Danio rerio: one gene and its partners. The protein of the gene in region 3 interacts with the protein of the main gene of each other region in a pairwise test. Links are inferred from orthologs where the notes say so. Each region holds a gene or a part of one and is shown on either strand. Other genes may lie near its edges.

What was found.
Region 1: the proteins of lnx2a (region 3) and mylipa interact in binary tests that used the Homo sapiens proteins (3 or more experiments, as listed by UniProt). The link is inferred for Danio rerio from reciprocal best matches to the Homo sapiens genes LNX2 and MYLIP.
Region 2: the proteins of lnx2a (region 3) and scly interact in binary tests that used the Homo sapiens proteins (3 or more experiments, as listed by UniProt). The link is inferred for Danio rerio from reciprocal best matches to the Homo sapiens genes LNX2 and SCLY.
Region 4: the proteins of lnx2a (region 3) and mapk9 interact in binary tests that used the Homo sapiens proteins (3 or more experiments, as listed by UniProt). The link is inferred for Danio rerio from reciprocal best matches to the Homo sapiens genes LNX2 and MAPK9.

Annotation. Positions count from the first base shown.
Region 1 is NC_133194.1:28,752,506-28,760,258, reverse strand, and holds the start of mylipa (E3 ubiquitin-protein ligase MYLIP-A), read right to left. Parts: upstream 4,468-7,753; 5' UTR 4,333-4,467; coding exon 4,246-4,332; intron 1,174-4,245; coding exon 983-1,173; intron 1-982. UniProt on the Homo sapiens protein: E3 ubiquitin-protein ligase that mediates ubiquitination and subsequent proteasomal degradation of myosin regulatory light chain (MRLC), LDLR, VLDLR and LRP8. Activity depends on E2 enzymes of the UBE2D family.
Region 2 is NC_133181.1:29,761,100-29,768,973, forward strand, and holds the start of scly (selenocysteine lyase), read left to right. Parts: upstream 1-3,899; 5' UTR 3,900-3,969; intron 3,970-4,637; 5' UTR 4,638-4,650; coding exon 4,651-4,757; intron 4,758-4,861; coding exon 4,862-4,971; intron 4,972-6,167; coding exon 6,168-6,268; intron 6,269-7,606; coding exon 7,607-7,790; intron 7,791-7,874. UniProt on the Homo sapiens protein: Catalyzes the decomposition of L-selenocysteine to L-alanine and elemental selenium.
Region 3 is NC_133199.1:25,551,003-25,558,726, forward strand, and holds the start of lnx2a (ligand of Numb protein X 2a), read right to left. Parts: upstream 4,584-7,724; 5' UTR 4,446-4,583; intron 1,184-4,445; 5' UTR 1,079-1,183; coding exon 675-1,078; intron 1-674. Other genes in the region: si:ch211-140b10.6 (protein POLR1D-like), read left to right, coding at 6,773-6,795, 7,089-7,163.
Region 4 is NC_133196.1:35,024,436-35,031,711, forward strand, and holds part of mapk9 (mitogen-activated protein kinase 9), read right to left. Parts: intron 7,013-7,276; coding exon 6,847-7,012; intron 6,751-6,846; coding exon 6,679-6,750; intron 5,112-6,678; coding exon 4,929-5,111; intron 4,678-4,928; coding exon 4,553-4,677; intron 4,421-4,552; coding exon 4,357-4,420; intron 4,068-4,356; coding exon 3,996-4,067; intron 1,460-3,995; coding exon 1,320-1,459; 3' UTR 1-1,319. UniProt on the Homo sapiens protein: Serine/threonine-protein kinase involved in various processes such as cell proliferation, differentiation, migration, transformation and programmed cell death.

The DNA of each region.
Region 1 (7,753 bases), on a different chromosome or scaffold from region 3:
ATCCATATTCATCAATATTGTGAACTATTACTTCAATATTATTATAGTTCAAGTTGAAGTAATTTTATTTGTAGTTTTTATTGTACCGTTTAAAAAACATTCTATTAATTTCATAGTTTGTAATTGGTAATTGCTGCCTGCTTTTTTTTTTTTCAAGGAAGGAGAAGCATTCCAAATGACACAAAGGGGAGTAAATAACACAAACTATTATTCTTGGAAAAACTGCCTAATGTATGTAACATTTAATGCATTGGAAATTTGCACTGCTGTAACTATCATTTTAAAACAACGGTTGGGGATATGTTCACAAATGCAGCAACAAGAGCTTGAATTGCATCTTTGTATCCTTTGCACTGTGCTCCACATTTGTCTCAGACAAAGAAAAGTAACAGAACTCCAGAGTCAGAGTGAATAAAGACGCATGAGGTGGTGGTGACTCCGCCAGCTCAGTCTCTGTGGGCAGGAGCCTTTGAGCAGGGGATCGCATTTCCTGCTGCCGCTCATCGCACAACGACCTACAGTAACCCACAGGGAGCAGGGTTACTACAGGGCAAACCACTGTACTTTACAGACTACCGTGCGCTTGCTGCTTTGCTACCAGAGACGCATGACTTCAGCCAAAAGAACAGTAGTTGAGAAAACCAGTGTTGCTAAATCAATATTTAATATGTAACTTGCCCTAGATTTTTTGTGCTTATAGCAGGCTCCAGAAAACGAGATGCAGCACAAGTCGGGCATTGAATCCACATTAGATACAGTGAATGGCAGAAAAATGGCTTTGCTTCCACTGATCTCACACTAAATATTCATACACCCACATGCGCAGTGGCTTTTCTTCCTGTTGCTCTTCTTCTGAAACCTTTTCTGTTCTGAAGCGGAAGTTCAAAACAATCTCTACCCACAGAGAATGATGAAATGTTCTCAACTTCCTCAAACAAGATCTAATTTTATGAATGTTTGTTGTGTTTTTGAGTGTACGTACCTCGTCTGCTCCTGCAGAATAAGATGAGGCTCCACAAAGAACTTTACTCGGAGCCGCAGTCTGCAGGGCGTGAGATTGTCCATCTGCTGGGAGATTCTGTTCCTCAGGTTCAGCCACAGGTTTTCTCCTTTACTGCCAGAGAACTGCAGCCCAAAGTAATCCACTTCTATAATTCCCAACTTCCGACATACCTGTTTACAAGAATTAACAAGGAAAAAAAAAACAAAAAAAAAAACAAACATTTTTTGCATTGTTAAAGTCTCCAAAACTCAAGAGTATGATTTTTTTTTAAAATGAAATATTACAGTAAGATAAATTTATGATTAACTCTGATAAATTACACATACGTGCACATGTTCTATATTAATATGCTCTTGTAAGAAAGAAAAAGAAAACTTGAAACTCTACTCTGATTATGTTTTAATTGGGAATAGTTTGTATTAACCTTTCGCCACTGAGATTTACCAATATATATATATATATATATATATATATATATATATATATATATATATATATATATATATAAAAACAATGCACCGTAAAACCCAAAAAGTTAAGATAACTCAAACCGTTTGAGGAAATCAATTGCAACAAACCATTTAAGTTCAAAAACTAATCTACATGAGTACAGTGAACTTAATCCATTTGAGTAAATAAAGCAATTCAAGCATAGTAAAACCCAATAAATGAAGAGAACTCAAACCAACAGGGTACTGTCAAACCAAATGAGTTAAGGCAACTCAAACAGTGAGGAAGCCGATTGCTACAAACTATCAGAGTTTAAAAAGTAACTTATACGAGTACTGTGAACTTACTCCAATTTAAGTTGAAGTAATGAGTCATTTAATTAACCCATCACCAGGGCCAGACATAATCTGCAGAAATTGTTTTTGCTATTTCTGCAGAGAATTTTGTAAAAAAATCTATGGATTTATGCAGAATTATTTTGGGCGCATCATTACTAAACTTAATATGACAAAAACAATAGCTTTAACTTTAATGTTTAGAATGCAAATCCATCTAGATCCACTTAATTGGTAAACAAAGCAAGTCTCCTATACAATAGATCTACAAAAAAAAATTATATATATATATATATATATATATATATATATATATATATATATATATATATATATATATATATATATATATATATATATATATATATATATATATATATATATATATATATATAAATATAAAAAATAAATAACTTTACAAACTGTATTGTAAATAAATCATGTGAACAGTTTCATATTAGACAATATTACTAAAATGAATTTAAAAACTGAATAAATATCAATTTACACACATTTACACAAGTAAATAAATAGACTCCACGACGGGCCAAAAATCTGCGTGCACAGATTACGTGTGGGCCTACTCATTATCTTCAACAGAGTTAAAATTTTTTTCAAACGAATAGACTTAACTTTTAATAAATTGAGTAAACTTCAGATTTCAGAAATGAATAAACTTCAGACTTTTGGGTTTTACAGTGTATGTTGTTGTTTCAGGTTCCCCATTCACTTTTAAACTTTACCTCAGATAGCTGCATAGTTATTTGACATGTTAATTATGAGCTAACAATCTAGCCATACTAGCAATAAAAATAACATTTCACTCAGAAATTGTGGAATTGCTAAAATTTTCTATCTAAATTTAAAAAATATATAGGCATGAATACCAAGTAAAAGTCAGCTATCTTTCAACAACAAAAAATACATTTGTGAAATTAATTACGACAGAATTGCAATTACCGCTATGAATTAAACTTTAAAAATATGAAAAATGATGAGCATTTTTATTTATTAAATTATGTTTTCCTTTTTTATAAAGGCCACACTAATAGTATTTATTTTAATTATAACTTTAATATACTTGGGACAAAGTTTAGCAAACAAAATATACAAATCATACGTTTAATTTAAATCAATATATATTCCACATCAAACAAACGCATTTTTTTTTATGCTGCACATGTTTGACACTGCAATGTATGGCAAACAACGCAAAAGCTGGGTTTTATAATCTGGGTTTAAAAATAGCACAAACTCTCTTAATTGTGAAACAATTCTTTATGGTTAAAAACTGCTGTTTAGCATGATGATAATCCTGTATGAGGAGTGTAAAAAAACAGCAGATTATAAATTCTACTAAACAGCTTTTGTATGCCACAGTATGATTTTTTTTTTGCAACATAAGAAATCAGGACATTTATCTCAATAACAGGTTTGTAGTACAACAACATATTCACAAGGTCATTTCAATAAGGTTTAATTGTGCAGTTCATTGAAATAAATAAAATATTGCTGATTATTTCTTTATGAGCCTTAGGAGATTATTCCCCCTTCAGAATATCAGTTACATAACAGAGTTCAGAAAAAAATCCCTGTTAAAGGGAACATTTAAACTGCCCTGGGATTAAATATCGCTTTAAAGCATGCTTCTACGAACACAAACTTTAAGTCAACGGCATCACATTCTGACTTTAGCAAACTACATTAAATGATTCAAACTTGAGCCTCGTTGTATATCACATTTGCTCTGCAAATTAGATTTGTTGCTTTCTAAATTGTTTGATTGAAATGCTTGAGTTGAGCGTACAATTAAAACAACTTAAGATACCTTCTTAAAACATTTGTTACAAGCAAAGAGGTGTTAAAAAGCTTAAATTTTTTCATATTTGTTCGAGAGGAGCAGTACCTCGATGCACGCGACAAACATTTGCTGCTAAAGCAAATGAACTTTAGTAACCTCGAGGATGCCATCACACATGCACACTATTGTTCGGGAATACCCCAAACATCGTTCTCTTTCTAAAATATGAACGAAAACGTTTCAAGAACACACTTGTGTCTTGAATTATGATGCAAACTTTATTATTTTTTTTGTTTATTGTTTTTTCGCAGCAACATTAGTAGGCTAACACATTATATTTGGTCGTTTGATATATTGAATAAACATCATAGACTTAAGAGACGCAAGCACTCAAAAATGCTTTGCATGTTAAATGTTATTCGCCATTTTTGCCTAAATAAACGCATGGCATTAAAGATATAAACAGAATGATGCTGATATTAAGTTTCCATGTGTGACTCGAACTCATTCATTCCGCGCTCAGGCTACATCTCTTTGTCAACATTTGTTTATATGCCATTTTAAGCAATGCAAAATAGCTATGATGGACATTTTAGACCAGTTTACAAATAACCATCACATAAATTTCACATTGAGACTTTCATTCATGCTCTCACCTTATTCAGACAGTCTTCTCCGTTCGCCTTCGCGTCTACTTCAATCTCCATCACCACCGCGTCCGGTCGAGTTACATGGCAGAGCATTTTGGAGAGGTGTTTCGTCTTTGGTCTACCAGTCCTGTACGAAAAACACTACAAACCGCTCTCAGTGTTGTCTTCTTTTAACACCCTACATCAGCCCTCGCTCACTTTCCTCAATCCTTCTGTTTTCTCTCAGTCTGAAGCTCAAGGCTTCCTGCTCCTATATAAAAGCGGCGCTGTTCAGGCCCCGCCCACTCCCACCACAGCCAATCACACGAGGTGCTTCGATCATTCAGCGAGCGCTCTGACAGCAACAGAAACCCTGCCATGTTCACTTAGTAGTGAACACTGTAGTCGCCACCAGCGTCCCCTACAGGTGCGCTGTATGAAGATGCTTGAGGTGATTTTATTTAGACAACCTTACATAACAAACTTGGTGACATAAATACCAAAACTATACTATTTACATGTAGCCTACCTAATATTTACATATATAACAAATCATCACAAAGCCATGAAATGAAACCTTCAAATGACCTACAAATGCATATTTAGGCCTACTGAAATGTAAAAAAAAAATCACATAAAATGTATAATATCACATAAATCAAGTTTCTAACACAACAAAATAAGACATAATATTTTGTTATTTTTTTTATTATATCTGTTACATCTTTTGCTACACTTTGAATTAAACATTAAAAATATGTTATTGTTTTTGTTAATTGCTTTCTTTTTGTTACTCAGGGCAAAAAGTTTGCACAAACATCAATAACAAAAATCAAATACATAAATTAATATTTGTAATACAACTCCATAATAAAAAAATAACATAAATCATATAAAAATTATATAAATCATCATACATTTGTGGGCGAGGCAGTGGCGCAGTAGGTAGTGCTGTCACCTCACAGCAAGAATGTCGCTGGGTTGCTGGTTTAAACCTCGGCTCAGTTGGCGTTTCTGTGTGGAGTTTGCATGTTTTCCCTGCCATCGCATGGGTTTGCTCCGGTTTCCCCCACAGTCCAAAGACATGCGGAACAGGTGAATTGGGTAAGCTACTGTAAATTGTCCGTAGTGTATGAGTGTGTGTGTGAATGTGTGTGTAGATGTTTCCCAGAGATGGGTTGCGTCTGGAAGGGCATCCGCTGCGTAAAAACTTGCTGGATAAGCTGGTGGTTCATTCCGCTGTGGCGACCCCTGATTAATAAAGGGACTAAGATGACAAGAAAATGAATGAATGAATGAATCATACATTTGTTCGCTCAGAAATTACTATATTCCACAAATAATTACAAAGAACAGGTAAGTAACAGACTGTAAGTTAAAATTAAAAAATTTAAATAATAAAAATATTTATTTAATCTTTGATATTTGCAGTTATACATATACATACTAAAACAAAAACTAAAATTATTTAAAATAAATGTAAATAATATATATTATGTAAGACAAATCTGTCCTTCACAGACAGTGTTAGTGAGTCTCTCTTTATAATAGACACCATTTTATGATCACACTTACACTAGCAAATTTCTCTTGAGTGAGAAAGTGGCCCTACGCCAGAGTCTGCGGTCGTGTCCAGTGCCAGAGGACGACTAGAGTGAGTGCCAGTCTGTTGCTGACTGGAGATTACACTTTACATGTATTATGCATGTTTGCCCACAACTCTCCCTAGAGCAGCACGCTGACGCTATGAGTGAGACATCAGCAGAAAGCTTTTGATAATGAATATTTAAGGAAACACACTGCAGGTATAGGGCAAAAAATGAACTAATATTTTTTTCCATACTTCTCTTTCTCATGCCACTTTCTCACACAAGAGAAATTTGCTAGGATTAATGTGTAAGTGTGATCATAAAATCATGTCTATTCTAAACAGAGACTCACTCACTATCTGTGAGGGACAGATTTGTCTTACAAAAAATATTATTTTCTTATTTTATAATATATAATTTTCTTTTCGGCTTAGTCCTTCTATTAATCTGGGGTCGCCACAGCGGAATGAACCACCAACTTATCCAGCACATGTATTATGCAGCAGATGCCCTTCCTGCTGCAATCCATCACTGGTAAACATCCACACAAACTCATTCACACACATATACTACTGACAATTTAACCTACCCAATTCACCTATTCCACATGTTAAGGACTTGTGAGGGAAACCAGAGCACCCGGAAGAAACCTATGGAAAACGGGGAGAACATACAAACTTGCAACTCCCCACAGAAATGCCAACTGACCCAGGTGAGGCTACCCACTGTGCCACCATAATGCCTTTTTTACATTTATTTTAAATGATATTCATTTTTATATTAGCATTTAAATCTTATTTTTTTACAGTTTACTGTTTTGAACTTTGCTTATAAGTGTATCCCTTAAAACTGCAAATATTTCTAATTAAATTAATATTTTAGATATTTTTTTTCTACTTTAAACTTACATGTTTCATTCAGTCTGTAACTTACATGTTACATTTCTTTGTAATAATTTTGTGGAATATAGTATATTCTCAGTGAAAATGTATAATGATTTATATAAATTTTATAGGATTTATAATTTTTTGTACTACAAGCATTAATTTATGTATTTGCTTTTTGTTATTGATGTTTTTGCAAAACCTTTAACTGCACTGTATATTTAAGTTGTAAATAATGTAAAGATTATTGGAGAGATTAACAAAAATAATTATATATATACATTACATTCAAACTCAAAAAAAAAAATATATATATTATATATATATAATAACTCATTTTAATAACTAAAATCTTAATAACATAGTTTTAATAACTCATTTCTAATAACTGATTATTTTATCTTTGCCATGATGACAGAAAATAATATTTTACTAGATATTTTTCAAGACACTTCAACTCTCCAAAGCCGCAAATCTAAAAAATGACAGGTGCATGAAGGAAGTCTTTTGCCTGGAGTGTCTCGCTTTAAGTTGTTGTAAGAAATTATCTATTGAGAGAAATACAATCAATGTGTCCTACAGTCATCTCATATCCACAGAGATGTGACCGGGCCTTGTAGTTGTCAGGATGACCTTGCAGTATAGAGTTGTGTGAGACAGATGCCCCAGGACAGATGCCCAGTGTCCCAACACCTGTCCCCAAACTTCACTCACTGTTTCCTAAAAACATCACATCAGGACAGCAGTGTGCTGGAGGCTGCTTGGAGAAAACAACAAGCGTCAAATGCCAAGACGGATCTTTTCTGCTCACCGTGGTCTGCCCACACAGTGCCAGTACGAAACTCTTTCTCCGCACACATTCACAGCGAGACATGACAACAGTCTGAGTAAAGTTGACTGCACAGACAGCAGAGAGTTCATATGTATGCAAGTCTGCGGTATTATTTTTACACGTTGTTAAAATTGTCAACAGAATGTCAGTGAATAAAAGCGTACCAAAATCCCCTCATATAAATCAAAGTTTCTCTTTCTGACTAACTGAATGCTGTTATACAGAACTTC
Region 2 (7,874 bases), on a different chromosome or scaffold from region 3:
TGGCATTCTGTTTCAGTGTATACCGACCAAAATGCAGCCTTTTGAAATGGAGGCAAGGCTATAACTGCTCACTGTTCACTAGTCTTTCAGACCATTGCATATTGTTCCCTGTATCATTAAGCCCTTCTCATATGACCGTTATTCAACCGGTAGACTGTAAGTATAGATGTCGGCAAACAGTCAGTGTGTAAAGTCACTAATCATGTGTTTGGCTGTACAGTGTGGACAGAGATCAGATTTTTAGAAACACAATAAAAAACACTTTTCTGGACACCACTTTAAAACAAAAATGCACTAGTGTAAATGCCGCCTCAATCTCAATTGATTTATCTTGCGCACAACTATCCTGGAGTTTACCTGAGAAATATTTTTGCATGTTCAGAGCACAGATCAGATGTTCATCTGAGGTTCCTGCAGAGCTGGATCTGGCAGCTTCATGGGAATGACTGAGGTCAACCAACCTACAGTTCATACTCAATACTGCAAGAAAACACCTCTGCTAAAACACTGATCTGTCTGTGAATAGATTCCAGAGATTTAAACTTCTTATTCCAAAAATTCAGTTATTACTATTGTCATTTCTGTATCTTTGAGTGGACAAAATAAGCATATCTTCAGTTTTTCACTGATATGTCAAGTCATTTCACTTTACATTTATGACCAGTTTAAAATAAATACAAGCAATGCCACTACTTTTAGAAACATACATACCTTAATAATAATAAGTTTGTATGTGTGTGACAAAATTACTTTTTAAAATTAATTTCAGTTAAAGTGCTTACTAGATTGTTTTCATTTTTGTCTCTACAGAAAGTAGGACAGAGAGCTAGAAGTATAGCATATCCTGTAATGTTTCTACAAGCTTTTTCATAAAACACCCATTCCATTATCATTGAATTAATTTACCACAAGTAAAATAATTCAATTGTTCTCATAATTTACACCAAATATTTGTGTGCTTCCGTTCTGCTTTAATGCACATTATGACTCCATTCATATGATTTTTTTCTTCTCTGTTGTTCTCTCTGAGTTTTACTTGCCTTGTATATAAACATGATTGCTGTGAATGGTGTATAATGCAGTTGTAATTGGTTTGTACCATCTTCAGTGGGCAGTAGTTCAATGTCTCTTTCTGAGTGTTGGAGTTATGAGTCATGTTTGTGTACACTTAACACATTGTCAGATATGAAATAAATGTGGAACTTATGCAACACTATGAATTGTTTGTGTGTGTGTGTGTGTGTGTGTGTGTGTGTGCGTGCGTGCGTGCGTGCGTGCGTGTGTGTGTGTGTGTGTTTATTTTTAGAAATAATATTTGGAAATAATATTTTAAAAATATATTATTTAGCTCACAATTAAGACTTTTCCCAGAATTTCTTCTATCATTATTCGACACTTAGATCACACATTTTTGAATTCTTTCTTGAAATTCAATATTAATCTTTCTTTTGAAGAATGTCTAATTACATGAAATTCTGAATTACTAAATGAAGTCTTTTTTTTTTATTCTTGTAGTGAAAACAGACTTCCATAAAAAGTATAAACTTACGAATTTCATTAAATTGGTTGTTAAATCATATTAGTTATTATTTATTTATTTATTTTACAAATAATGTATTAGGCTATTCATTATTTGCTCTAGTTTTAGCAGAATCCAGGCGTGATGAAACAATTTGTCATGTTACATACATTTACAGACTGTGGTTATGTGAGTGTGAATACTATGTCAACGTGAATATTGTGAGACTGACTAAAAACTAATAACAGAAGTTTGCTGATATTTGTGAGCATATGAGGGCCTTTTGCTAGTTGTAACTTTAATATAAAACTTCTTTTTATTTATTTTTTCAAAGCAGAATTTAATAACACACATTTAATCTTTAAATATACAAATTGGTCCATATAAAATAACTTACGTTTTTACTATGTATTGCTTTGTTTTCCTCCTAAGAAAGTGATTTTCTTTTTTAAAATGGTTTGTAATTTTATAATTGTGACAAAAAATCACTATATATGAATGCATTGGTACTTTCCTTTTTTAAAGAAAACTGTGGCCTGAAATTCATTATTTTTTATTATGTAAATTAATAAACATTTAAGTAAATGATGTACCGAACATAACTGAGAAAATTATGAAAAAAAAAACACTTACAGAAACAGGAATAAAAACTGTAACAGGAATGTGTGTGTGTTTGTGTATGCATGCTTGTGTCAGAGAGAATCCTGTATGTGCTATGTGTGAGAGAGAGAAAGAGGAATATCTGTGTTAAAAGGACGGGCTTTGTAGGTCTTAACACTGAAGAAGATGGAAAGAAAGAATACAACAGAACCGTTAGAGAGAGGAATAAAGAGAGGGTTGCTCATTCCTCTGCAGTATGCCATGTGAGTGTTTTTGGCTCCTACAGTACATAGTATGGGTCTTCTCTATCTATTTTAACATAATAATACAATAATAACATTACTTGTCCACAAACCACTAATAATTTGATTGCTAAAAGCAATTAACTTAACAAAAAACAATTTCCCTAACCTTTCCTAAAAAGCTTGACCCAGTTTGACCCAGACATATTTTTCAATTTTCATGTTACAACCTGTGACTGGCCTTGAGGGTTTCATAAAATAATGTCCTCAAATAAGTAGCAAAAGGATGTCTTCACTGGTCAAACAAACTGTTGACTGTCAGTGGCAAAATTGTCATTTTTTGAGAAAACTATTATTTTAAATATCTTACAACTTCAGCAAACATAATGTGGAAATCAGGTGAAAAATATAATAAAAACTAATATTCATACTACTAAGTAAATACTTCAGAAGATGCTTCACACTCTTGGTGTTACTCCTTCCTGTTACTCTTCAAATACGTAACAGGACTGAATTTTTAGCATAAAATTTGCAATTAAATGCCATTTAGCCACATGCATGCTGTACATGCTAATAGCTTAAAGAAATTCAGGCAATTTTCATGATTTGCCAAATATGTGAATTAGCTATTGTGGTTATAGGCTAGGGTAAAAATGGAAAATATATATCTATAAATATATATATATATATATATATATATATATATATATATATATATATATAAATATATATATATATGCCTTAGACAAAAAAGGGCACTGATATATAAGAGGACTGATTAAAAATTGTGTGTATAAATGTATTTGAGGCAAATATGAGATATAGAGTTACACAACAATCTAAGATTTTAATAATTATATTTTACTGTGAACTGCAGTGTTAGAGACTGGGGACAAGCGAAAAATTTCAGTGTTTTAGGTCGTTTTTAATGAATTAAATTTGTAGTTCTGACGGTAAAGGACACTTTGCTTAATAATAATAACAAGAATGTTTGAGTTACTTTTCTTGCATATGTATACATATTTAGTCCTGGGGAGAGAAAAGGCACTCATTCGGTGAAATAGCTCATGAATAAATCAGTGTAACGTTTATTGTTCACATCATTTATAGAATTAAAAGAAAATCAATTACTACCTACCAATGTCAAGCTATATGTGCTTCATTTTATCCATTAGTATATATTCCCTTAGTTACTAACCATATCGTAGACTATTTGAACGATACTTCCATCCTCACTGGCCTCAAAGTAACTTAACAAAATTACAAGCGCTACTACGAAGAAGGCTCTTAACTTATGAATATTAATTACGTGACGTTCAGCTAGCGGAAGTAGACTATCGAATTAGAAACGCGGAACCCTGAAGGCTTGGCTTATTAGCATTACTACTCAGGACACGACTGGACGCCTTTTCACGTTTATCAAGCAACGTCACCGCGATCTGATTAATAATTCACGAGGCAAGCCTTCGCTATAGTAAAAAGAAAGTGGGACAGTGTGAAAAGAGGAGGGGTTTGTTTTAGTCGTGCGTTTCCGGTTCACAGTATGGCGTGCTGCCGTGCAACTGTGAATCATTGACAGGACAGACATACGCTAAAAGAGTAAGAAAGGTCAGTAAACTAGCAGTAAAATTATATAGGTTTATCACTAAAGTTAGTTATCTCAGCTAACTGTAAAGCGACTGTAAAGGCCATTTTGCTTGTCGGGGTTTGCTCGCATAATGTTAGACAACAGAACAAGTCTCCACGCTCAGTGAATCACATGCATGAATCAAAGTTAGAGATTTTAATAAAGTACATAGAATTTTAAAAGCTTATAGTTATAGCAGTGGCTGGCTTAAATCAAGACATAATTATATGTGTGACCCAGCAAACCTTACAGACTGCATTATTCCGTTATGGTTTAACTTTGAAGCCAAGGTTAACATAAACATTAAAACGTTCTCCCATTTCAAACCTTTATGAGTTTTTCTTTCGTTCTGTTGAACAAAAAATGAAGGTGTTCAGAAGAATTTTTATAAACTTGTGGGCTCTGACATCCATAGTAAGGAATGGACGTCGATTGCTATGGGTTTCCAACATTGCACTAAATATCCTACATTGTATTATACACAAGAAGGAAACTTATAAAGATTTTTGTAAAAAGGGGAGGGTGGGTATACCATGACAGAATTTTAATTTCTTTGAGAATTGTCCCTTTAAATATGCTTTGTAAAATGATTTAATATTTCCCTGAATGTGTTTAGACTCATGTACAATATTTTGCCCTTTTTTATCAGTGTAATCCAGATCATGGCTGAAAAGTTTGACCCACCTATAACCTTGAGTCATAATTTCCCCTCATTACATCACTGGGATTCTCACCTGGATCATCATGCTGTGGCTGATGGACCAGATAGGTAATGAATATGCCAATACAGTCCTATTCTGAACATGAAGTCATCCAAATATGATCTTCCACATGTTTCAGAATGCAATTAATCGAATAACTGTTTTGCTGCAGAATATATATGGATTACAACGCCACCACACCAGCCGATCCAGAGGTGATCAGGGTTGTTACTGATGCTTTAATGGATGCGTGGGGAAATCCCAGCAGTAACTACCTTCCAGGTATGAAGCTGTACAACGTTATTCACATTTAAATAATCCCCGAAAAATAAATGGGATTTGTTCCCCCTCGCATTGATCAAAGATTAGAGTGGAGGGGTAATTCAATTCAATTCAGCTTTATTTGTATAGCGCTTTTACAATGTAGATTGTGTCAAAGCAGCTTCACATAAATGGTCATAGTAACTGGAACAGTGTGGTTCAGTAACTGGAACAGTGTGGTTCAGGTTTTAGTGTTTAAGTTCAGTTCAGTTCAGTTTAGCTCAGTTCAGTGTGATTTAATCATTACTGAGAGTTCAAACACTGAAGAGCAAATTCATCGATGCGTAGCTCTACCAATCCTGAACCATGCGAGGCAGTGGCGACAGCGGAGAGGGAAAAAAAACTTCACCTGATGGGAGTGAAGAAAAAAAACCTTGAGAGAACCAGACTCAGTTGGGCACGACCATTTTAATTTCTCCGCTGGCCAAAAGTCTTGTGCAGAACTTCATTCGCCGTGGTTTATGCTGGAAGATGGCCTCAGCGAAGACTCGTCTGTCCCTGGAGCGTCGCTGGAATCAGACACATGTTCTCCACTCCCCACGACCATCAGCGCAGCAGCAGCTCAGGATATGGCCTGGTCCCGGATATGGAATCCTTGGGATCATCACGTCGCTGGTCTTGGATCCAATCAGTGACTCCGCCTAATCTGAGGACCTCGGGATGAGTATCCCCAGGTGAAAATAGAGAATAAAGAGAATAATTAGCGTAGCTGCTGTTCATAGTGTATATAAGCAAGATGCAGAAGCCAGTGTGGAACCCGCTAGGTGATGCATTGAGTGTATGCTTTACTAAACAGATAGGTCTTTAATCTAGTTTTGAACTGGGAGAGTGTGTCTTAGCCTCGGACATTACCAGGAAGGCTATTCCAGAGTGTAGGAGCCATGAAAGAGAAGGCTCGACCTCCTTTACTTGATTTTGCTATTCTAGGTACTACCAGAAGCCCTGAATTTTGAGATCTTAAGGAGCGAGTTGGTTCGTAGCGAGACAGAAGGTTGGTTAGATAAACAGGAGCTAGATTATTTAGAGCTTTATAGGTGAGAAGTAATATTTTAAATTCAATACGAAATTTAACAGGCAGCCAGTGTAAGGAGGGTAAAATTGGGGTAATCTATCCCTTAAACAATATTTAAAATAGTTTTCCACTGATCTCTGATTAGGTTTGAAAGCCAGAGACATCATCTACCATTCGAGAGATGCCATTGCTAGGATGGTCGGTGGAAAAGCAGCAGACATTATTTTTACTTCAGGAGGAACTGAGGTGAGTCATGAAAATGAGCTTGTTTTTTGTTGTTGTAAAAGATAAAATAGAGCATCCCATTTGTTGATAACTATATAAATATTCCCTGTGTAAGGCAGTCAGTTTATTGACATTTAAGAATGTTTAGCCAAATAAACATTTATGAAACATAAAAGATTATTATGCTCTACTTTAATGACAAGGCTATGTACATTACTTGTTTCTGAGAAAAGTAAAAGCAGTCACAGCAGCAATCGTTCTCCTGTATGTCATGTTTAAAGTTCATGGCACACCCAACTTGGGTATTAAAAGTTTCCCAGTAGTAAATATGTTTTAAGAAGTCGTTAACATCCGATTAAAGACTGGGAAACTTATATTTGCAATAATTCCTTTCTATAGCATGTGAAGGCAGCAATAAAACAGGAGCGTCCAAACCTGTTCCTGGAGAGCCACTGACCTGCAGAGTTATGGTGGGTTCAGGTCATGACAGACAGATATTTATGAATTGAAAGCACATGAATGCAAACACACAATGTTAAAGTTACAAGTGGAAAACTCCCAGAGATTCCGAATTGTGGCTGTCAGTGAAAAAAAAGAACATGTTGCATACCATGGATAGTTTTAGCTTGATTTTCATTGCTTTATCACATTTATGAAATCGTGCTTCACCACACTCAAACCTGAGCGCAAGTATTATGTTTTTAACAGTGTCAAAACATTCTTTTCAGTTTTATATGTCATATTGAATGCCAAGATAAGGCTTATTTCCTTTAAAACATTGCTTAATGTGAAACAGAATATTTAAATACAAGCTATTTACATGTCATTTTGACCCCTAATATAGAGTATTGTAATGCCTCCTCTGACAAAACAGATGCTGTTGCTCACAGATCAGCATAAAACAAAGATCAGTCCATACAGTTTTCCTGTATTTCTTTCATCTGTGTGTATTCACAAACATTAACCCAATAAAAAAAAAAAAAAAAACAATAATCTAGCAAAAACTGCTAGATTTATTATACTTGAAATACAGTAATAGACTAAACAAAAGAGAAAGGTTGTTTCTTGATGAGTCTTACTGCGTGTCAATTTTGACGATTGTCATATAGTCTGATATTACAGCAACTCTAATCTTACAGTGACATGGGGATCATATTTGTAAAGTCTAACAAACTACAGTTGTAAGTACTATTAAAAAGTGCAGAGTTTAGGCCCAGCTTTACCCTTCAAGCAGTAGTCCAAATGGAGCATTACACTTATGTTGAGAGGTGCATTGGATTTACATAATTGAGTTATGTAAAGGGGCCTTTATGGAATGCCACTTAAACTTTATTTAGCTCTCTGTTTCTGAACTTTCAGGCCAATAATCTGGTGTTTCACACAGCGGTTGAGCACTTCAAGAAGAGCATGATTTCAGCAGAGGGAAGCACCTCAAGCAAGCAAACAAATGGAAGAGGCTCTCTACCTCATGTCATCATCTCCAACGTGGAGCACGACTCCATCAAACTCACAGCTGAAAACTTGTTAAAAGAGGGCAAAGCAGGTCAGCAGGACTGGGTTCACTGTATAAAAGTTTGGTTGTGTCCAAAAAATGTATACTCTATACCTCTAGTGCAGGTACTTATTT
Region 3 (7,724 bases):
TAGTTTTTTGTCCCAAGGGTTGAATAATCTATTTTGTTCTGTCGATCTTACCATTCACTCCTGCACATATAGACGTTAATTTTACAGTGGTTTATTCTGTCGAAACGACAGTAAAGGCATGGATCATTGCAAAACAATACAGAGATTTCATTATAGCGGTTGCATGGCAAGGCTATTTATATTCTCCTGGATTTATTATAAATATGGAGGTGTTTGTATCTGAATTTTATTAAGCACACTTTATACACATAGCTAGGCCTGTATATAAGGTTTATTGGTGCTGTTAAATTAATTATCACGTTCAAAAAAAAAAGTTTGTACACATGGATGTATTGATTAAATGTTGATAACATGCCTCCTTTTCTTCTGCTTTTCAGACATTTTCATAAACTTTCCCCCCTTTTTGACTTTTTGAGCAAAAAATTTTGGCAGTCTATAAAAAGCTGTTCGCCATTTCTTATTTTGGCCAATCTAAACAATTATAAACAACATAAAATATACACATTTTGATGTTCTGATTGCAGTTCCTATGTAAAAGAACCACTTCCTGCCCTCTATCTGAATTTCATGCAACATCAATGGCATCAGATAAAAATAACCTAATGCTCGAGTACCAAAACATTGACATCAAATAGTGCTTATTTGAGTCTGAATATTTGTCTTGAGAACTTTACCTGTGTTTGAGATGTGCCTCCAGGTCGCAGCGAGGCATGCTGAGCGAGCAGGAGGGCGTGAGCGGACAGGTGACCGACAACTTGTCCAGCAGCTTGTGCACCAGAATGCTGGAGCGCCGGCAGACCTGCAGCTGCAGATGCGCACGGTCCAGTGGACAGAAGTCCCGTTCCTGCAGGAAGCTGCGCAGACAGCGGGCACAGAAGGTGTGGCCACATGGTGTATCCAGGGGCTGAACTAACGGCTGAAGGCAGATGTGGCACACCAAATCATCATCCACTTCCAAACGATAGTTATAAAGGTGGTTCTCCCAGGTGCGGTGAATCTGTCCACATTCAGAGCAAAGGGCCTCCAGAAGAGCTTCGCTCACCATGCCCGGGTCCACTCCCTCTCCCAGACTGCCCATTGCTCTCGGCTTTGGCTACACTCACTCAGTCCATCCCGCGGGCGTCAGAGGCTGTGCGACTCCGGCAGGGGACGACCACCCCCTGGCAGGCACAGTGACATCACTCTGAAGGGTGGCAGAGAAACAGTGAGGTAACTATTGTGAATGAGAGACAGTGTTTGTGTGTGCCAGGATGAGATTATGTTGCAGAGCAGTGTGGGTTTACTCCTGCACATTAATCTGGCAGTGTAATCTCATGCTCTCTCGCCTAGAGAAATCTTTCAATCCCGCAGAGAGAGAATTATCCAGGATTGAGGCAGGGAGCACCGAGTCAAGAGGTTTTCATGTGAAAGTGAGAAAAGGAGGGGCAAGAGAAGACGACGAAAAACAGATGCTGTGTAAGATTCCAATGGAGAGCACTTGTTCATAAAAACCAGAGCGGAAGCCCTCTGAGTCATTAAATATAAATATTAATCAAAAACCTACTATGTTATAATTAAAATCTTTCCTCCGAAGGCTGTTTCTGATTTTGATACTGTGTAGATTTAAAGGAATACGGCTTACATTATGTCTTTCTTTTCTTTTTCATTCTTTTAAGACCTGTTTTAACACATTTTAATCTGTTTTTAATCACTGTTATTGTTTGTTTATATTTTCTTATACTTGTCTCTTTTATTCCTGTTCATGTAAAGCACTTTGAGTTGCCACTGTGTAATAAATGTGCTTTATAAATAAACTTGCCTTGGCTTTGTGTTTACTCACCATCACCATTTATTCAGAACTTTTTTCTAAAAATGAACATTTGCTGTTAACTTACTCTAAGGCCATCTAAGATGTAGTTGGCTTTTTATTTAGTAGAATAGTAAAGAAGATTTATGTTGCGATTTATGCATTGAGTAAATTAATTCAGCATTTTTTCTAATATTTCACGATCTATTCCTTTAATATTTCCTTAGATCAAGGAAAAAAGTAATGGAAATATGAGGGAGATAAATTATGAGGCAATTGTAGTTTTGAGAGAACTTGAACTGGAGTTTTTAAACTTTGAGGGAATAATAAGTGAAAGAATTGTAAAATGACAGATATGATTTAGCAAATGCATACATTTCACAAAAAAATACATCTAAGAGTGCAGAACTATAGTAGTATACTCGAATATTTACATTTTAGAAATTGGCGTAGAAACTAATTTTACTCTGAAAATGAGTAATGTTAATATTGGATGTCATTTTCTTGCAAATTATACTGTAATAGTCTACTTACACAGTAAACGTTTTAAGATGGTGGTTCCTTTTCTCAGTAGTATTATGGTATAAATTCTGACGGTATGATAACCTTGGAAACAAATATCACGGTTTCACAGTATTGTGATTACTGCTCTAAAAAAAAACAATCATTTTTTCCCCTTTAAACAAAATATATTTTATTTTGAGAAACATGTAAAGTATTTTGGAGCAGTAAACATGTCAGGCTAAAGAATTTAAATGAATCATTGACTTCTGCTGTCTTTATCAGTTTCAAAAACACAGATTCCTTTACAATTTAAAATGGCATCTTTTGATATCTTCTCTGCTGGAGATACTGTTGTCCTAAAAAAATGTAAATAAAAAAATCTTACACACCTTAGGAATGATTATAACAGAAAATTTTGGCGGTTTTAAAACCTTGACTTTTCCAAACCGCGGTATACCTTGAAAACGGTTATCGCCCTATGCCTAATGGAGTCCATGCCCAGCAAACAATTTTGTGATTAATAGACGTCTAATAGACATCTAAACTAAGACAGTTTGGCTAAAACAAGGCTGAACTTGGGCTGTCAGTAAAAATCTAAAAGACATCTAAGAATAGCCCAAAACTAGACAGATTAGACAGACTTTACATCTGTAGTCAGTTATTTCTGTTAATTTGATTACTAGTTTTGGCTTGTTCTTAGACGCAAGGGCGTAGCGGACGTTTTAAAACTGGGGGGGACAGCTGTATGAGATCCAAAAGTTTACATTCATATAATTATTAATCACCTATTTCTAAATGGTCTGTCTCTAAAATAGCCTCTGCTAGACGGCTATTCGATTTATTACTAGACAGTCCAAATGTAGCCTTGTTTTAGCCAAGACGACTATGTTTAGACGTCTTTTAGACATCTTTTTAAAACAAAAAAATGCTTACTATGTGGCTTCTAGAAAGAGAAAACTCCTGAACTATTCCTTGATAATTGCCTATTTAATGCCACCAAACAGCAGGGGACAGTCTATTGGGCCAACAATAACGACACTTATCGTCTATATGCACGTTATCCGACAGCTGTGCGTCCATGACCGGCCTCACGCCTGCTCTGTGGACGGCATCTCCGTGACTACCTGCCTCTGTGTTTATCTCGCAGCTGGACATGAATAAAACATGAGGACACAAGGCTCCTCTGTTCCCACTACAAAGCCCTGTCAACGTCTCATCACACACACACATACCCATGCTCACACTGTAAATGTCTTAATGTGGACAGTCTGAACCAAAAGAAGCAGCTCGTGCCTTGATAGCGAAGATGTGGGACTTCATTACATAAAGGCTGGGATGCTTAATGGTCATTGGGCGGCTGCCATTAGTGTTTCCATCCTATGTTCATTCTCCTCAGACTTTTAATCACAAGGGAGTGTTTAGATATTGACCGCAAGTGCTGTTCAAGGCCACTCACTTGTTGTATCCTTGTATCTTTATCTGACTGTCACAGTTGTGTTCTCACTGGCAAAATGGCACATTCGCCTCTTATCTGGCTGCCTGGCGGATGAAGAATTAAATGTTTGTTCAGCTGAACTGACACGACAAAACAATACAACTAACGGCTGATCTGTAAACATCTCGGCTACAGGGAAAGCTTGCAACATCTGACATATTTCCATAGCTTTGAATTGATTGTGCACAGTCTGTATTTACTGAGCAAACGGCGTTCGGGAGCAGTGACATGTTTCCATTCTGCAGATCTATCCACAAACCACCATTTCTGACACCCATCACCTTTCCCCAATCAATACATTGACCTTAATGTTGTTCAGAGAGGTTGTACATCCACAAACAGGTAGGCAACAAAAAATAAATTAATGGAGGGAGGGGGGGGGGAGGAGAAATAACGGCGCTTTCTCTGTTGAATTAAAATGTCTGTGGAGGCCACCTGCATGAATTGTCTCGTTAATTAGGCGTATCCAATCCGGATCTATGACACGCACAAATATCGATACCTCATTATTCCTGGTTTAGAGCGGCTCGCTGTAAATTTTTCGTTTGCTGTCTGTCTCTCTCTCTGTGCCGTCGCCAGTACAATGGGCGACAATGACATCTAAGAAAATACGAAATAAAAGACCAGCGAGTGATTATATGAATATCTGAATAACATTACCTATTCGCGTTCTTCTCGGATGCTGTGAACTCTGGCCCCGAGAGGGGAGAATCATGGAGCTCAATCACATCCACCGCAGCTTCCCCGAGCCGCATCCGCACGTCAAAACACCCCCGTATCTTTCTTGGAGCGGTGTTTGATTCGTGAGCGGATGATTCATTTGAGTCGACTCTGTTGAACAAATCAGATGGATCGAATATTATAACTGGTCTGCACAATTCGGTCATGAGTCCGTCCGAGCGACTCTCGTAGCACAGACTGCCCGACTCACTGAACGGAGAACCGAGAGTCCTTGTCGGGATTTTTCCATTAGGATCCATTTAGAGGGAACATTTAATTTTAGCTCGTGAGTGTGCAAGTAATGTAACTTGACTAATGACTTTTGTCAACAACAGCAGCAGTGGTCACGTTTATTTTTAAAGCATGTGATTGTAAATAGTTATTTTATTCATTTATTTATTTAGTTTTTTATTGGTCTGTTTATTATAAATACAAATTATCTTTAGGGTACAATTATGGACCTTGAAATAAAAACTGTTTATTACAGCCAATAACAGCTAATAATACACTACTTATAATACATGAATTTATATATATATATACAGCGGAATGAACCACCAACTTCTCTAGCCACAACCCATCACTGAAAAACACACACCCTCATTCACTATGGTTAATTTTAGCATACCATTTCACCTGTACAGCATGCCTTTGGACTGTGGGGGAAGCCGGAGCACCCAGAGCAAACGCAACATGAAGAGAACATGCAAACTCCGCACAGAAATGCCATCTGACCCAGCTGAAGCTCGAACCAGCAAACTTCTTGCTGTGGGGTGAACGTGCAACCCACTGCGCCACCCAGTGACTTCTCAACAACAACCAAATATAAGTAACTTGGGAAAACAAATATAATTTTTTTCCTCTGAATGCATTTCTGTTTTTAGTGAATCTAAACTTATATTTAAATACATTTAATTTAAATAAATATCTAAAGAAAAAAAACATTAATTAAATAGTAATTATTGCTCACAAGTGACTTAGAATTAAGATATTTGATCAAGTTTTTTTTAATTATAAGCATTAAAACATAACACTATGTATTAATAAAAATTCAGACACAAACTATATCCAAGACCATTACAATAAGTGCAAAAAGCCACATCCAGAAATAATATTAAAACAAAAACATAACAAGTAAAAATATTAAATTAAATATAACTAGTAATAAAAAAAAAAGATTGGCACACAATCAGACTACAGTGAGGGATCAGTACCAGAAAAAAAAACTTCATGAAATCTAACATCAAGTCATTTTTTTGTTATTAATTTGCATTAGAAACTTTTTCAAAGTTTCCATTTCTAATAAAAATTAATAGCATTTTGGTATACACTTCGCAAACTTCTGTTTATGAATAAAATATTAACCTTGTAGCATGTAAAAATTAACAACATACCAACATACTCTAATGAGTGTGTGTGTGTGTGTGTGTGTGTGTGTGTGCGTGCGTGCGTGCGTGCGTGCGTGTGTGTGTGTGTAAAGAGCAAATACAATCTTTTAACATGTATTTGCCCAAATAACACGTCACTAACATCATACTAAAATGTAAGAGACATCACAGTTATAGAAAAGATGTGATAAGTGTGCAAGTATTGTCAACATTCATGTATTTAGATAAGATAAAAAGAGATTAATTGATTTATTTATTATTTTATTTATTATTTTTTTATTATTATTAAACAGCAGCAAATATACAATTTAAACATGACATCCAAAACTACAAATGTAACCTATAACATAAAATAAACTAAAATATAAATTACATAAGTTAAATAAATAAAAAGACTGTAAAGATATTATGTCATGTAATGCGCTTTGGGATCATGTAATGACGTAAAGAACCGTCGGAACATGTTGAACTGTTCCATTCAGAGCTGCTGTTCAAATGAACCATTTGATGAAATGACTCTGATTTTTTCACTACCGTTCGTTTGACAGGCTGCAGACGGCGCTGTTAGTCGAATATCAGTTGTGACCATCGAGATGCCTGATTAAAGTGCGATCGTAAAACCTATTATTAAGTCAAATAATAAACTAAAATAGACTGTTTAAATGTACGTACTTTTTGTTCCAAGTGCAGATAGTTTCTACATTTTTAGTTTGAATTTTACTGTCTGCTCACTTCCGCAAATTTAGTCAAAACTAAGATGGTCAAGCGGACCGGGGTCCTAAATTGGGTCCTCGAGAATAGTAAACACTAACGTTACTGGTTAGCAAGCTGGAACAAGCTATAAATTAACAGTGACTGCGGTTTAAGGTTAATTAGATCATGGAAGACAGTGAACTGGAAAGGTATGATATTTCTAAATGTCAATTTTCCCCCTTTTGACCAGTTTATTGGACTAGTTTACGATGCAGAATATGCTAACGCCCTCGGCTTCGTGCAAATTGGTCAGTAAATTTGTGTAAACCAAAACCTGAGACGAAGCACCATACTTTTGTTATATAGCAAACATTTCGGTATCCTAGAAAAGTCTATTTTGCACCGTCAGAGATTTAAACGTGCTATTTAATTTGGGGTCACGGTAATACATAAATTAACCCGTTTCTGTCGTCAAATGTCTCACTGTAAATAATTTCCCCAGAAAAGCAGTGGAGGAGCTCCTTAAAGAAGCGAACAGAGCAAAAGCCCGTGTCGAGACAATGGGTCCTGCTGGATGGTAAGTTTGGATCACTAAATTGATAAATTACAGATATTTAAAGTGACCAATTTGAAGTCTTTTTCTATTATTAGTAACCACTATTGCCCCCACTCTTTTACACACACGCGCACACACACAAGGGTGTAACTTTGGTTTTCGGATGTGAACTTAAACCTGTGTATGTATATATACAGTACTGAGTACACCCCTTAAAGATCTGTATTTTAAATTAATATGTAGTATAAAATGCTTTACAGTAATGCATTTTGCACAAACTCTTTAGATTTTAAGGTACAAAAGCCAAAACTGTGACTAATCAAATATGCTTTTCACAATAATCAATATATCGACTTATCGCACAACACATTGACATGACATCTATCATTTTTGGTGATGTAATATATATTGCCCATATATAAAAGTCAATTCTAGCAACATTTTAGCTGATGGTGCAACCTCTTTATGTTACTGTAGTATATTTTCATGCAGGTGTCTGACAACTGAAAATAGATCTGGTAGCAGATCTTGCAGCCTCTGTTACTTTTTACATTGCACTTTTTACTACTATTTATTCAGGAT
Region 4 (7,276 bases), on a different chromosome or scaffold from region 3:
GCCACTGCTCATTGGATGGAAACGCTGCTTTACTCGCACGTCTTTTATGCGATAATTCAGTTTTGCGCATAGATTTAATGCACATCTTTGGATGGAAAAAGCTACTGAATTGCAAAGTTAATAAAATGTTCCTGGTAATCTATAAGAATATGACTAATCTTTCAGCTTGTCAATATATGAGCATCTTAATGAAAAAAGAAAGAAAAAGCCACTGACAAGACTTCTTAAGAGTAAAAAAAAAATATATATAAATTTGCTTTATATAACATTCTTATAGGCATTTCAAGTTTGAGGAGATTAAAAAAGGCAATGGATTGCAATAGCTCATGCAATGAAACACAGTCGTATGAAATACGTCATGAACTTGCCAGCAGTGATTAATTACTCTTGGAATGATGAGGAACGGGACTCCGATTTGGATTTTGCATCTACAGTGTACCATTTTGAATTTAGATGCACTTTTTTAAAAAGCTGAATGTTAATTTTTGACCCTCTGTGTGCAATTGTATTTTTAAATCATTTTTAAGTCGCATCGCAATCTGTTTTAGAGTAGATATTAAAAAGCTGTAAAATGGTTTCCACAGCACGAACAAAGAAAATCCGAACATTTACACGAAATCTATGTACGTATATACACACTTGACTACACCCTAACCAACTGAAATCCATCATTGGGTTTTCTTTTAAAATGGGTGTATGGTGACTATATACAGAGGCAGGCACTATTGTTCTGTTTCCTACGTGTGTTTAGGCGTATTTCAGTAATCTGTAGTTGCGCTGTCTGTCTAATAAGTGTTCTTGTTAATATCATGCAGCAATTCTTGTAACAGGAATTGGTTCTGGAGGGGATGGCTAGCTATAAAGTTCAACAATTTATATCTGTGCTTCTTTTAGGTGATGAAATGAATAGTAATAAAAGCTACATCACAGGGGGAGAGCGAGGGCATTAATGACAGGGATAGTCTCAGATATTACATATGCTGCTGCAATAAGAACTCCACCGGAGAAGATGGCATGTTAGTTGTTGTAAAATGAAATGTAAACGCATTAATGCACTCTTCTGTCTATTTGAACGGAGTTCCTTTATAAAATCTAAAAGAAAATAAGATGCTTTTTTGTTGGAGTGTAATCTGAGCATCAGCCTACAACTCAAAAGCTAATACTACACGAATGAGAAGAGAGGAAAAAGCAGTCCCTTAAAAGCAATAGTGAAGTGTAAACTTGAAGCTGTATGAACGTGCACCCACGGTTCAGTCCAGACCTCTGCATGGCCCACACAGCGATGTGACATGAGGGAGAAGAGCTGGAAGTCACTGGAGTCACTCTTCCAATGGGCCCGTGAGGGTGTCAATGCAAGAGCTGTCGGTATCTGAAGCCAGCGTCTGCTCCGTCGACATGGATGAGATGTCATTAATAGAGGACGACTGGGAGGGAGTGGCGCTGCTGTTAACCGTACCGTCTACAAAGCACAAAGAGCAATCCATTACTATGAGTGTCTCTGAGGGTAATGTGTTATTTATACTTATGAATGCAGGCAACATTTAACCCCGCACCTGTTTCATACTGTTCCAAGTGATTGAATTTATTATAAACATCAAGGCTAAACAAATGCATTTGACGTGAAACTAAATTTAGCTGCATTCATGTCATTGCAATTACTACACTTCAAAAAAAAAAAAAAGATCAATTAGTCGTGACACTAAATGTTTTAGTTCATTGAAACTTATTAAACCAAGAATATCATGTTCTAACTTAATTGTATAAGTTACACAAGCTGTTTTCAGTCAGTCTAACATAGGTTAAATAGATTCATTTGATTAAGCTTAAATATTTAAAGTAACCAGGATTCTTTTTACAGTGTAGGGATGCACTGAAATAAAAATTTTAGGGTGAAACCCAACATTTTGCATGCACTTGGCTGGAAACCCTAAACTGCTTTGTAATAATTATTTTTATTTCATTAACACTGGAACTACCACAGGGTGTCAAGGTGGTGCAGTGGGTAGTACAATCGCCTCACAGCCAGAATGTTGCTGGTTCGAGCCTCAGCTGAGTCAGTTGGCATATCTGTGTGGAGTTTGCATGTTCTCCATGTGTTCACGTGGTTTTCCTCCAGGTCCTCTGGTTTCCCCCAAAAGTCCAAAGACATGCGCTATAGTTGAATTGGGTAAGCTAAATGAGTGTGTGTGGATGTTTCTCAGTGATGGGTTGCAGTTGGAAGGGCATCCACTGCGTGAAACATGTGCTGGATAAGTTGGTGGTTCATTCCACTGGGGCGACCCCTGATTAATAAAAGGACTAAGCCGAAAAGAAAATGAAGGAACGAATGATTGGAACTACCAACATTCTATAGCTAATAAAATTACAATAGCGGTCACCGCTCTCATACAAGACATCATGTTGTCATAGAAAACTTCTACAGAGATTATAAAATTAAGCTTTGATTGTCTGTTATCATAGTTAATTAAGTCATTACCCTAAAAATACAACCTTTTTGGTAATACAACCTATAAATATATACAGTTAGGCAACATTAGACCACTTATGAATGAATCCATTTTTTTTTTCACTTTCACAAGCAGGGGAGAAGGTTTTTCATGGCACTAAACATGCTGTTTTGAAAGACATATCTTTGAAGATATGTTTTTGCCAACAGAAAGTTGTTTTGGTTAGCATGAAGTTGCTAGGCAAAATTACAGGGAAAAGTAGCAGACATCAAAATGCATGCTATGGTTTATCTAGGTAGAAATAAAAACTCTTTTGTGTTTTTTTTTTTTTTTCATTTTAATAAAATATCAATGTTAGAAGGAAAATACACAATTTTAGTAAAAGTCATGGAATTATAGATACAGGTGTTTTATCTTAAAGTTATTAAACAGCAAAAATTACAAATGGTCAAAATTACCACCTCTGTAGATCTAGTGATAAATAATATTAATTGATTTTTACATATTTACATTTAACTCAATAACCATCATTTTACAGCTTAAAAGCCAATGAAATAACCACATTTAAGATTACAAAAACTTTTATTATTAATATTGAATGCGGTGCCAAGGCAGCACTACTGCAAATAGCAGGAATGAGTTGCTCTTGTGATCTGATCGGTGCAGCAAAAAAACAACTTCGCTTTTTGAAAGCAAAGGTTTCATTCCTTCATTTTCTTTTTGGCTTAGTTCCTTTATTAATCTATGGTCGCCACAGCGGAATGAGCCACCAACTTATCCAGCATATGCTTTACGCCAAGGGTGTCCAAACTCTGTCCTGGAGCGCTGGTGTCCTGCATATTTTAGCTCCAACTTGCTTCAACACACCTGCAAGGATGTTTTTAGACTGCCTAGTAAGAGCTTGATTAGCTAGGCCAGTGTCTGATTGGGGTTGGAACTAAACTTTGCAGGACACCGGCCCTCCAGGACTGAGTTTGGACACACCTGCTTTACACAGTGGATGCCCTTCCAGCTGCAACCCATCACTGGGAAACATCCACACACACTCATTCACACACATACACTTCAGACAATTTACCTTACCCAATTCACCTGTACCACGTCTTTGGACTTGTGGGGGAAACCGGAGCACCCAGAGGAAAACCACATCAACACAGGGAGAACATGCAAACATTACACAGTAATGACCCAGCTGAGGCTCGAACCAGCGACTTTCTTGCTGTGAGGCTATCGTTCTACCCACTACGCCACCATGATGCGTAGTTTGATGCATGTTTCATAGCATTGCGATTTTTGCGTTTAGTAAAAGCTGTTTCAGATTGCGAGAGAGCTGGAGGGAGAGTGAAATCAGTGCCCTGAACAATGCTGGGCAGTGCAGATCAGTCAGACTTATTTTTTCTCTCATAATTTGTTCCATCATTAGTAATTACCTTAAATACGCATCATTCACTTTATGCATTATAAATCTGCTTTGGAATAAAAGTAGCAGCATAATACAGATTATTTAAATAATAAAAGAATAACTATTAAAGAAAATATGTGACTCACCTAAACACTCCTCTTTCAGTACCCCATTCTTGTTCCGCTCCTCCCAGTCCATTACTTCTTTATAAATCAACTCTGCAAGGAGGGAAACCCCACCCCAAGAAATCATTAACAGAGTTCAGTGGATTTCTATGTTTTTTATTTTTTTACAAACCCTTTAGCAAACATTAGGATTATGAACTTTTAATGTCAAAATCTTTTAATGACACAAAATCAACCCGATTACTGTTTATTAAAATGAGAACACAAATGACCTTGGAATCATTTAACCAATACACCACAATGATCATTTCTGCTGTAGACATTTATTTACATCTACAGGTAGCTTTTAACGGAAGATGTTGACAGCAGAGGGCGACTGTACCTTTCCACTGCTCGATGCTGTGTTCGCGCTCCTCAAGCTGCTTGTCTGAGATCTGTGGAGGAGGCTGAACACATAAAACAATCAGTACAAATTCAAGGCCCAAGACCTCCCTGACATCGTAAAAACGTCCCCTGTAAAACAGTTTGTGCAAGTCTGGGCAGGACAAAGTGACATAGATAGACAGAGGTGCACTGACCGCATCAGCCTCAGCTGGGTCGTACCACACATGAATGTAGGGGTGATTAAGAGCCTCCTGCACAGAGATACGGCATTCAGGGTCGATTACCAGCATCTTGGAAAGCAGATCTCGTGCTTGACTTGCTACATTGGAAAGAATAGAAATCGGGTGTCAAGTAAAGTTTACAGTTAACGGCATTGTTATCCCAAAAATGATAATTTACTCAGCCTTCCCTCATTTAGTTCTAAACCTTTATGAGTTGACCAGATTTGATACAAGTGGAGAGTGATTAAATGACAGAAATTTCATTCTTGGGTGGATTATGCCTTTAGGAGTGTGCTAGTGTAAAGTAGAAAAAGAAACAGACATGAAAGAAAAGCGAGGATGGTTTTACTTTTGATCTTGTCATGCTCCGTCTCTGATGGGAAGGCCCAGTCAGGAAAAAGCTCATTAAAACTGACTCCAGGAAACTGGGGTTTGTTCATCACATAGTTCCTTACAGTCTCCATCAAACGGTTCATAAACTCCAGAGAGGGGGTTCCCAGAATCTCGATCACCTTATTCCACTGGTCAATATCTGAGATCAGCTTAGTTAAAGAGGATGATGAAATTAAGAACAGTTGCTTTTTTTAAAGGCATCATTATCCCAAAAAATTTAACCATTTTCTCACCCTACTGTTGTTCCAATGTCGTATACCCATTCATTTTTTTCTTCAGACGCCAATATAAAATTTAAAAGATTTTTCATTTATTTTCATTAGTTTCCTTTTTAGAGGTCGCCACAAATCGGAATGAACTGCCAATGTTTGTTCTCATATACAACAGACAATTTAGTTTATTTGATACACTTATAGTGCATGTCTTTGGACTATAGGGGAAACCCTCGCGAACACAGGGAGAACATGCAAACTCCACACAGAAATGCCAACTGGCCTAGCCAAGATTCTAACCAGCAACCTTTTTGCTCTGTTAAAGATTTTATTTTTTTTATTAATATCCAGCTTGTGCTCTTTCATATAAAAGGCAAGTAGAAAGTACAGTATCAAAGTAAAAGTAGTAACAGTAAGTAAAAGTTATAGCATCAAAGAATGTATTCATGTACATTACTATGTAATGGTTTCTTTTCATTTGTGAGTTGGTTGTGCACAAAATCAAAGTCAGGATTTTTACTAATTGCAGTATTAGATTAAATGAAACCTCCAGAACATCTAGAATATATGGTATGACATGCAGAGGACCGTTTTTGCAACAAATTATTTCTCATTCTACTATTGTCTTTCCACAAAAGAAAGAAGGGCATACAGCATTGGTAAACAGTACTTTTTGCTTTTAAATTACCTATTCCCTTACTGAATAGAACAGACAATGGAGAATAAAAAGAAGATTAAGTATGGTTAATCAAAAGAATGGCCAGAGAGGAAAAGTTTGCAGAACTATTCAGAGGAGTAGTGTGTGGTTTAATTTATCAGATGAGGGTTTCACAGACCTCTGGAGGATCATGATGGAATTGCATGCAGTTATTACTAGAACAGAATAATGCATTGTACAATACAAGTTAAAAGTGTGGAAACATTAATGTTTAAAAAAAGTCTCTTCTGCATGCAAAGGCCAGATTTATTCGATCAAAAACACAAGTAAAAAAAAAATTGCTAAAACAGCACTCAGATTGAGATATTAGTTGTATACTGTGTGTTTTAAAATGTACTTTATTTGTCTGATGCAAAGCTTAATTTTAAGCATCATTGCTCCAGGCTTCTGTGTCATATTATGCTTCAATATTCATCTAAATATGTTCCTTTAAATAATTTTTCAAAAAAGTTATTTAGGGTATTAATGTATTTATAAAGGAAATTAAAAATGAAAACATCATCTGCTTCACAGTTTGGGGACAATTTTATTTCACTTTAATAAACAAGTTGAAAACAGTTACTCTAAATGTAAAAAAAAATAAAATAAAATAAAAATTCAGTTTTTAAATTTTTTTTTAAAGTTTTTATTGTATTTTTGATCAAATAAATGCAGATGAATATATATTTGAAGAGCATATTTGAAAAACTAAAACATAAAACTGACATTTAAAAATAGCATTGCAAAAAATGCAAGCTTAACTGCTTATTTTTCAGGTTTTAGAATTAAGTGGATACGATCAGTGCCCTGGAATATGACGCTCCCTTTAACCATTTCGCCCATGATGCAGCCTACAGACCAGATATCCACTGCAAAAAGACAATCAAATATTAATAACACAATTCCATTTCAATATCTTCATTGGCTCTGAAGGGCATTACCGCCAAAAAAAAAAACAGCATTACCGTTCTCCTTGTATTTCATGCCCAGGATGACCTCTGGCGCTCTGTAGTATCTGGTCACTACGTAAGGTGTCATCATAAAATTAGTGCAGGCGGTTCTGGCCAGTCCAAAGTCTAAGATCTTTAAAGTGCAGTCGGACTTCACCACTATATTACTGGGCTTCAGATCCTGAATAGCAAAGAGAATGCAATCCCATACTGTCATGCTGAAAGACAATCTCACACATTAACACAATGAAAGGTCTCAGTAGTTTAAAATTCACTTATTAAATCAAATTATTAGACTTTATTAGGAAATTTGGGGTTCTCTCCTTGAATATATGGAATTGTGTACTCTCTGGATGATATATATTTTTACATTCTTTCCTACTGTGACAGCTCATGTGACCAGGCTTTTAATTTTAGGTTTAAACAATTGTTCTGGTTGGCATTA